Linked DNA regions of Caenorhabditis elegans. The protein of the gene in region 2 purifies or fractionates together with the protein of the main gene of each other region. This does not show direct contact. Each region holds a gene or a part of one and is shown on either strand. Other genes may lie near its edges. The genes, in order: acdh-12 and sucg-1.

Evidence for each region.
Region 1: the proteins of sucg-1 (region 2) and acdh-12 fractionate together in Caenorhabditis elegans (co-fractionation; one large-scale study listed by BioGRID). This does not show direct contact.

The regions. Positions count from the first base shown.
Region 1 is NC_003280.10:7,191,871-7,196,815, reverse strand, and holds acdh-12 (Very long-chain specific acyl-CoA dehydrogenase, mitochondrial), read left to right. Parts: upstream 1-2,045; 5' UTR 2,046-2,052; coding exon 2,053-2,217; intron 2,218-2,263; coding exon 2,264-2,367; intron 2,368-2,414; coding exon 2,415-2,730; intron 2,731-2,777; coding exon 2,778-2,891; intron 2,892-2,939; coding exon 2,940-3,655; intron 3,656-3,700; coding exon 3,701-3,837; intron 3,838-3,881; coding exon 3,882-4,030; intron 4,031-4,086; coding exon 4,087-4,227; 3' UTR 4,228-4,382; downstream 4,383-4,945. Other genes in the region: maoc-1 (MaoC-like domain-containing protein), read right to left, coding at 1-154, 201-342, 391-478; E04F6.4 (PLD phosphodiesterase domain-containing protein), read right to left, coding at 4,397-4,607, 4,652-4,860.
Region 2 is NC_003282.8:7,727,125-7,731,446, reverse strand, and holds sucg-1 (Succinate--CoA ligase [GDP-forming] subunit beta, mitochondrial), read right to left. Parts: upstream 2,535-4,322; 5' UTR 2,528-2,534; coding exon 2,356-2,527; intron 2,310-2,355; coding exon 2,204-2,309; intron 2,099-2,203; coding exon 1,855-2,098; intron 1,807-1,854; coding exon 1,531-1,806; intron 1,488-1,530; coding exon 1,415-1,487; intron 1,353-1,414; coding exon 976-1,352; 3' UTR 797-975; downstream 1-796. Other genes in the region: C50F7.9 (Poly-N-acetyllactosamine extension enzyme), read left to right, coding at 27-146, 214-310, 356-516, 560-778; C50F7.5 (Basic proline-rich protein), read right to left, coding at 3,808-4,322. UniProt on the Caenorhabditis elegans protein: GTP-specific succinyl-CoA synthetase functions in the citric acid cycle (TCA), coupling the hydrolysis of succinyl-CoA to the synthesis of GTP and thus represents the only step of substrate-level phosphorylation in the TCA.

The DNA.
Region 1 (4,945 bases), on a different chromosome or scaffold from region 2:
CTTCTTTCCATTTTCATCATAAGTGGTAACATTTCCAAGAATCAAAGCACCGGATCCTTTGTCAAGAATATCAACGACTCTAGCTTCAGATTTCAATTTTCCTTCTGCTGAAAGTGGTTGATAGACTTCAATATATTGTTCTCCGTGAAGAACTCTAAAATGATTAAACATGTGTTTTCAAGAAATCTTATAAGAAAAACCTCTGAAGATCAAATTCAACTCCTGGCCAATCCATCAAAGTGTGAGCTTGAAATCCTGGAGCAACAATGTACGATGGAAGCACTTTAAAGTCTTCATGGTTCTCATAAACGTAGCACAAATCTTCTTTCGCTCGAGCACCAACTAAATGAAATTATTAATCACTATTCAAAAGGTCTTAGAAAAAATTACCTCCAAGAGCATAAATAATAGCATCTCTGGTAGAATATGAGAACTCGCATGGCTCTGCCACATGTGCGCAAGCAGTTTTCTTATCCATTTTTAAGTATTTGTCGGAGAAGAAACAAAAACCAAATAATGAAATAGAAAATGCCAATACCTAACAAGGAATCGGTACAGTGTAGTCTTGACCCCATGTGTTGATAAGACTACGCTGCAGACTACATAACGAGGGTGAAATCAATAGTTTTTTTTTAAAAATAAGCACTAAAAGAATTATTACCACATACTGATAATTATTAGATGTTTTAAATAATTTGCAAAAAAAGTATACAAGGCTTTAAATTTCAATTAAAAAATATATAAAAACTAGACTTTTGTCGGGAGAGATGTACAACGTGTTCATAGTATACTATAGTATTTGGGTTTCAACTTATAGAAAATGATCGAATAAATTTCCTTCGTTTTGAATTTTGAAGCGAAGCACGCACAAAAATTAATAGACCAGTTTCAGATTTCTCTTAATTCAGAAACATTCATCAAATACCTATGACGCCTTGTCGTCTGTTCAATAAAATTAACATGGAAGGTCGATTTATTTTTTCCGATATTTAAACAACCAAGGATTGTTTGTCGACTGTTAAATAGCTAAATTACAGTATCCATTCTACGAACCATTTCTCTTTCTTTAATTAAAAAAATAAAGCTTATTTTTTCGCGTAAAAGCCTTCCGAAAAATTCACACGTTTTCAAACTTGTGCATTCGCTAAATTAGTTTATATTTTCACTCGTTCACTTTCGTACATTGAAAGAATTCCAAATTCCATACGGTTCGTTTCTATAATGTACAGATTTATTCAGATGTAAAAAACATTAAAACATGAGCCGTCAAATATAGTGCCGACGGTGTGAACACACCACCGTAACACCGTGACGACAGATTGCGGATTCATTTTTCTTTCAGAGTACGATGCAGAAAACTTCTGTAATTGTCGTTTTTTTTCTATTTTAATTTATTTTGTGGCCGTTAAAGATAAAATATAAGACAACAAGTGTTCATACGAATTTTTCAGTACCATGAGGTGACCCGTAGAGCTATAAAATCATGTTTTTCTTGAAAATTTCATCGAACCTGCGCTAAAGTGTATTTTATCACATTGTCTTTTCACTAGTGCGTAGCCAGGGCCGTTCAAAGTACATAGGGCAAAGTCTACAAGAGATAACAATGACCGTCCTCCACGTTTCCTCTCCATCGTTTGTGTATGTTGGCGATTAATCAGTTTATTATGGAAAATTTACGAAAAATACTGAGCAAACCATGTTTCCAGTTATTTTTAGTTAACTTTTAAACTTCTTATTTTATGAAACACTCTTTTATGTAATCCAAAAAAAGCAAAAAACCTATTCGTTCTTTTTTGCGTTCATATAAAATGCTAAATACTTTTCTATAAAACTTATTCTGAATTCTATTTATTTTGATTGCTCTTGGACGTTCAGTGTAAAAAAGTATTGTTATGTCTGTGTTCTATGTTCTCTCACATGCTGCGTCTCTGCTCTATCCACCGTTCGACCCCCAAGTTGTTTTCTTCACTCTTTATCTCCGTCATCGCTATTTACCCCCTACTGATTCACTGATTGAAACCTATATTATTGGTTTTTTCTTCCAGAGAAACGATGCTGTCAACGCTGAGTAAATCTGCACGGCTCAACCAAACACGATTCATTCGTCTTTCGCATTCTGCTGCTGCTGCAAAAGATGCAAAACCGAAGAAGGTCGCTGCAGTGGACAGTCCATCATTTGTCATGAATCTTTTCAGAGGGAAAGCTGTGACTGACCAGGTATTTGAGAATTTTAGCAGGACCTGTTCAAACTGCCAATTTCCAGGTGTTTCCGTATCCTCTGAATATGACTGACGAACAGAAAGAAACTCTTGGAATGGTGATGTCTCCACTGGAAAAGATGCTTGTCGAAGTTAATGACGTCGTAAAGTGAATAATAAATCTTAAATTTACATGATCAATTTATTTATTTTCAGAAATGACGAGACTTCTGACATTCCAAGAGCAGTTTTGGACCAATTCGCTGAGCTAGGAACATTTGGTGTACTCGTTCCACCAGAGCTTGAAGGTTCCGGATTCAACAATTCTCAGATGGCCAGAGTCGCTGAAATTGTTGGAGCTTACGATCTTGGATTTGGTGTTGTCATGGGTGCTCATCAGTCGATTGGCTACAAAGGAATCCTTCTCGAGGGTACGGATGCTCAGAAACAAAAATATCTTCCCGATTTGGCAACTGGACGCAAATTTGCTGCTTTCGCTCTTACCGAGCCAACTACCGGATCTGATGCTAGTGTAAGCTAGAATATTATTAATTTCTCATAAACTTTAAATTTATTCAGTCAGTTAGAACGAGAGCTGAATTGTCTGCTGATGGTAAGCACTACGTTTTGAATGGTGGAAAAATCTGGATTTCGAACGGAGGATTCGCCGATGTTTTCACTGTGTTTGCTCAGGTAATTTATTTTCATTTTTTGGAAAAACTTTCACAATTGATTATTCAGACTCCTGTCAAGCAGGCCGATGGCTCAACAAAGGACAAGATGTCTGCATTCATTGTCGAAAGAGCGTTTGGTGGAGTCACCAGTGGACCACAAGAGAAGAAAATGGGAATCAAGGGATCGAACACAACTGAAGTTCACTTTGATAATTTAAAAATCCCGGTTGAAAATCTTCTTGGAAAAGAAGGAGAAGGCTTCAAGGTGGCGATGAACATTCTTAATAACGGAAGATTCGGAATTCCAGCTGCCTGTACTGGAGCTATGAAACATTGTATCCAGAAGACTGTCGATCACATCACCACTCGTGTTCAGTTTGGAAAGAAACTTCAAGAATTTGGAAATATCCAAGAAAAGCTGGTAGAAATGATCTCGAAACTGTATGCAACAGAGTCAATTGTCTATATGCTTTCATCAAACATGGATCGTGGAATTAAGGAGTATCAACTTGAAGCAGCTATCGGCAAGGTTCTAGCTTCAGAAAATGCTTGGCTTGTATGCGACGATGCTATTCAAGTTCACGGAGGAATGGGATTCATGCGCGAGACTGGTCTTGAAAGAGTTCTCCGAGATCTTCGTATCTTCAGAATCTTTGAAGGAGCCAATGATGTTCTCCGCCTCTTCATTGCTCTTACTGGAGCACAACATGCTGGAAAGCATCTTGCCGAGCAAGCTTCTGGAGTCGGGGGCCTTATTGGGTTGGCTGTTTCAAGAGTTACCGGGTTTGTGAAATCACATTTTTAGAATTATTAAACTGTATTTTTCAGAGGAAACACTGGCTCCAACTTTGGGCAAGTCGTCGACGCAAGTCTTCAAGATTCAGCTAAAGTATTGGATCAGCAAATTGCTTTGTTTGGACAAACAGTTCAAGGATTACTCATGAAGCATAAAAAGGGAATAATTGGTAATAAAATACCTTTGAACTGCTTTTAATTTTAATTTTTGTAGATCGTCAATATGAGATGCACCGTGTTGCCGACGCTGCCATCAACATTTACAGCTCTGCCGCTGTTCTTTCTCGTGCCACCTATGCCATCAAGAACAAATCTTCAAGTGCTGATTTTGAACGCAAAGTTGCTACTTACTACGTTGATAAGGTAATTTTTGATAACTGCCAAATTTTAAGTTTTAATTTCGATATTTACTCTTTCAGGCGATGAAATCATCAAACAGATTCCTGAAGGATGCCGGAAGTGGTGTTGAGAATGCTTCGAAGGTAGCAACAATTGAATCATTGGCGAAGGAAGTCTGTGGAAATGGAGGACTCACTCTTCAACATCCAGTTGAATTGTAAATTGTAAACTAGACTTGTTTTTTTTTATCGTAAGAAGCTCTTTTAGCCAGTCTGTATGTATCTAGAATTGAATTGCCTTCTTTTTTGAATTTTCGGGTGCGAATATTTTATTTCTTGTGCTATAAAAAACGGAAAATAAATTTTATCAATTGAAATTTTATACACGAAATTAAATGAAAATAAGCGGATCGAGAATCTGATCTTCTCCATGGTTCTTCTCGTAAACTAGTCCGTCAGCAGAGTATTTCTCATTAAATACTCCTATTTGATCAAACCCAAACCATCCGGAGAATGGGTTCGATGGTTTTGAAATTTTTGGAAGATAACCTTTTGATTCACCGTATTTTTGAAGTTTTTGTGAGTACGTGCTATGCCAGTATCTGAAGACAATGAAACATTTTAAATATTTTTTATATTTAATTACCGTTCAAATACAGCTTTTATTTGTCTATTGATATCTCCATAATGTGGTTCTTCGTCTACAATAATTGCAGTTCCAGTTGATTTGTAAAAGTATTCAGGTCCATAATTCGATGAACCAATGAAGGTTCTTGATTCGGAAATCATGAATTTTGCATGCATCTTACGATCTTTATAAGCTTCTTGAGCGGTTTGTGGAATTAAAATGAACTTCTGAAATATTTATATTTAATAAATGTTCAAATTGCGAAGGAGATTTCGAATATTACTTAAACGCGAAATTTCGCCCCACGAATAC
Region 2 (4,322 bases):
ATTTAATCAAGAGTTTGAATTTTCAGAATAATGAGCACATGTGTAACTCAATTTTCATTCACAATTCAAAAAGTATTGCAATGGAAAGAGAGTTTAAAAGATACAACAGGAAATGTGTGATATATTCTTTGAGTGATAAGCATACGGTACGAATGAAGTTTGCTAGTTGAATATAATAACTTTACGAATTAAAAAAAAGGAAATTAATTCCAGGAAACCTCACACTATCAAGATCCTCGATATAGTGTCCTCACATTAAAACAAAATGTGAGCTCACAAGCACGGCATTTAGGATGGGGAGTTGATCATTGTAAGCATATTACTTGTTCACGTATGAATATACAAGATTCTTCAGATGCTCGAGATTCGAATGCAGTTGATTTGACATACTTCACAGTTGTACAAGTGCATAAACTACGTTACGATTCAGTTAATATATTTTACGATGGAAGTCAACATATTAAAGCTCTGTTCACCAAATCTGCATTCGATGAGGCAAATCTGGTATCATGTCAGGTAAAAATTCAAGTTTGATTATCGTGTGCATAATTAATTTCAGTTCAATATCCTATACGATAGACCAAAAGGCCGTCTAGCTCGTCGAGAATTCCGTGCAACATGGAAGAAGCTTCTTTATGATAGACGGTATTTTGTGGCCAGTGTACGAAGGATCAGTGGAAGTAATGATAAGATATCTATTCTTCTTCTTAATATTTGCGATCCATATTGTTGGGCAAAATATATCAGTAATCAACCATTCCTTGCCAAAAATGTGTGACTTCTATAAATGATTTTTTTTTTAATTTAAATTCTAAATTCTAAAATAAAACAGGAAAACACAACGGTAAAGAAACAACAAGCTCTACGGAAAAATCCTAAAACAAGAGTAAATACCCGAGAATACAAGAGAAAAATGAAATGATTAAGGGAAAATCCTAGAAAGTAAAATTATAAACTTAAAATGAGATGTTTCGATTATTTCGGAAGAGAGGAAACAGCTTTAGCGGCGGCTTCATCCAAATTGTTGGCTGTAAGAATTTTGAGTCCAGACTTCTTCATGATTTGTTTAGCGGCATCAACGTTAGTTCCTTCCAAACGAACAACCATCGGCACATTTAATCCAATTTTGTTCACTGCACTAACAACACCATTTGCAATGGTGGCACAGTTGACAATTCCTCCGAAAATGTTGATAAGAACACATTTTACACGTGGATCAGAAGTAATAATTCGGACTGCGTTGAAAACAGCATCCTCTGTGACTGCTCCACCGACGTCGAGGAAGTTTGCTGGTTCACCTCCGTGAAGTTTGATGAGATCCATGGTTGCCATTGCGAGACCGGCTCCATTCACTAAAAATTGATTCAATTTTCAAAAATGAAGGAAGAAATAGAATTTGAGAAATAAATCTTACCAAGACAAGCAATATTTCCATCCATTCCAATGTAATTTAGGTTGAATTGGTGAGCATCGACTTCACGTGGATCCTGAAAACTAATAATGGAAAAAAGTGCACTTGAATTTTCTTACATGTTCCTCGAAGGTTTCATAAGCAAAGATTTCTTTTTGTCGATAAGCCGCACTGTCGTCAAAGTTCATTTTGGCATCGACACAGAAAACACGTCCATCTGCAGTTTCAACAAGAGGATTGATTTCCACTTGGGTAGCATCTACAGCAATGAACAGATCATAAAGGCGTTTAATTTCTTGTGCTGCGACTCCGATGAGTTTTCCCTCAAACTGAAGATCTTTGGCGATTTTAAGCGACTGTCCTTCAGTCATTCCCATTTGAATGTCAATTGGTGTCTGGAAAATTCGGTTATTTGAGAAATACAAATAATTTGTGAGACACACCTTGAAAATTCGTTCTGGAGTCTTTTCAGCAACGGCTTCAATATCCATTCCACCGTCTGGAGATGCAACCACCACTGGACCATTTGACTCACGATCCATAAGAACAGCAAGATAGGTTTCTCTTTTAATATCGACTCCCTCGGCAATCATTACTTTGTCGACACGAACACCTTCCGATGTAGTTTGTTTTGTGACAAGCCTCTTTCCAATCATTTCGTCGATCGCTTCGAGGGCCGCATCTTTTCTGAAAAATTAAATATAAAATTCGTCGGATTTAAAAAGAAATCGTTCGAAAATATATATAATTTATTCAAATTTTTAGTTTTACTACTTTTTCAAAAAAGCTTACTCTTTAGTAATGAATACACCTCCGATTCCCTTTGTTCCATTGATGAATTTGCCTTTGCCTCGACCTCCAGCAAGAATTTGTGCCTTCACAACGTACTCATGATCTCCTGAAATTTAATCGCTTTTATTTTTCATGAATTTCTAAAAACTAACCAAATGACATCCATTTCTCTTCTGCTTCCTTCCTGTTCGATGCAACGACGAAATTCTGAACGCTGCATCCATGTTTTTCAAGAATTTCTTTGCTTTGAAACTCCTGTAGATTCAGAAATCTACGCTGTGATTTCATCATTGACTTGGATAGGTTACCAGCAGCACGAAGCATTATTAATCTTAAAAATCCAAGTGAGAGGTTTTTTCGACAAACAAACAAGGTTCAAAAATTATGAGCTGTTAAAGGAAGCAGATAACAATTTAAAATTTTGAGCAAATCAAATACCAGGAGTTTTCAACAAAAAAAATCCAGAAAAATCTCGACCATTTAAAATTCTAGAGAAAGAATGGGAAGGAAAAAATCCACAAAGACTACACTAAACAACACGCGGCCGTTATTTCGGAGTATCGTTGGGAGCTCGAAGGATTATATAATTATCAAAAATAAGCAGGAGTTTCACTTTACTTAGGAAATTTTATTTTTTGCCAGAGTAAAGAGCGAATTAATATATATCGATATATATGTATTGGGAGGAAAATGTTTCGCAATAGAGCGCGCGAGAAAATGTCTCTGCGTCTCCACAGGGGGCGGGGCGATGGAAAATTGGATGAAAACGAAGACTGTGGCTAAAATCGTTAATAATGAAGATTATTAAACATTAAAAATAGATAAATGGATAGAAAGAACCATGTTCTAAACGCCTATATACATAAAAATAAGAAATTTTGAGATTTTTTTTTCGTTGTCTATATTTGTCAGCCGCATTCGAGTTACATGCCGTTTTTCAAAAATCTAATTACAACATTTTGTTTGGCTTTTTAACAGCTTCATTTGAACATCTTGATAGTTGAAATCTAAATAAAATAAATTCTCCGGACATTTAAGTCGAATGGCATTTTGTGACACGTACTCGCATAGATATAGTTTTACAGTAATCACAATAATTGTTTGTCGCGCCATTTTATTTTCTTATCCCAACCAAATGTTTCTTTTTTTTTTACATTTTTCAAGTCGGAACATGATGGCAATTGCTGTCTCTGACGATATAGCGTGTAAGACAAAGAGACTTAAACATTGATTTTGGACGAACAATCTCATTCATTTCTGCTCCCCAAACTTTACGACACTTGCCCAGATTTTTTATGTCCCGTTTGATTCGAGCAATTGAAGAAGAAAACAATTATTTCTTTCCTTCTTTCCTTCCGATTTTTTCGACGTTTGTTTTTAACAAAAATTGTAAATTATTCAAGATACTTGAAAACAAAACAGATCTCGGTGAATCTTGCCATATTGAAAATTAGTCTTTGTTATTATTTTTTTACTTGCTTTTTTGCAAAATTTTTCATGTCTTGTTCGCTCCAATTAAAGCGTTTTAAAATCAACTTTATTTTGCAATCGTTTTTTATTTACAATAGTTTTTACACAATTTACATAAGATCATTTAAGTACAATTACAATTGCTCTTGATCGAAATGATGCCCATGGTGTCCATGATGTCCATGATCATGGTGATGTGGTGGCCCTGGTGGCCCTGGCGGGCGTCTTGTTGGGGGTCCAGGTGGACCTGGCGGGCGCCTTGTTGGGGGTCCTGGAGGTCCTGGAGGGCGTCTGGTGGGAGGCCCTGGCGGTCCTGGCGGTCCTGGTGGGTCAGATGGAGATGGCTCATCTGATGGATCTACTGGCCCTGGAGATGGTGGTTCAGAAGGTTTAGGATCTTCTGATGGATCTACTGGTCCCGGAGATGGTGGCCCAGATGGAGACGGTTCATCTGATGGATCCACTGGTCCTGGAGATGATGATCCAGAAGGTTGAGGATCTTCGGATGGATCGACTGGTCCTGGAGATGGTGGACCAGATGGTTGAGGATCTTCGGATGGCTCTACAGATGGTTGAGGATCTTCGGATGGGTCCACTGGTCCCGGAGATGGTGGGCCAGATGGTTGATGATCTTCGGATGGCTCTACAG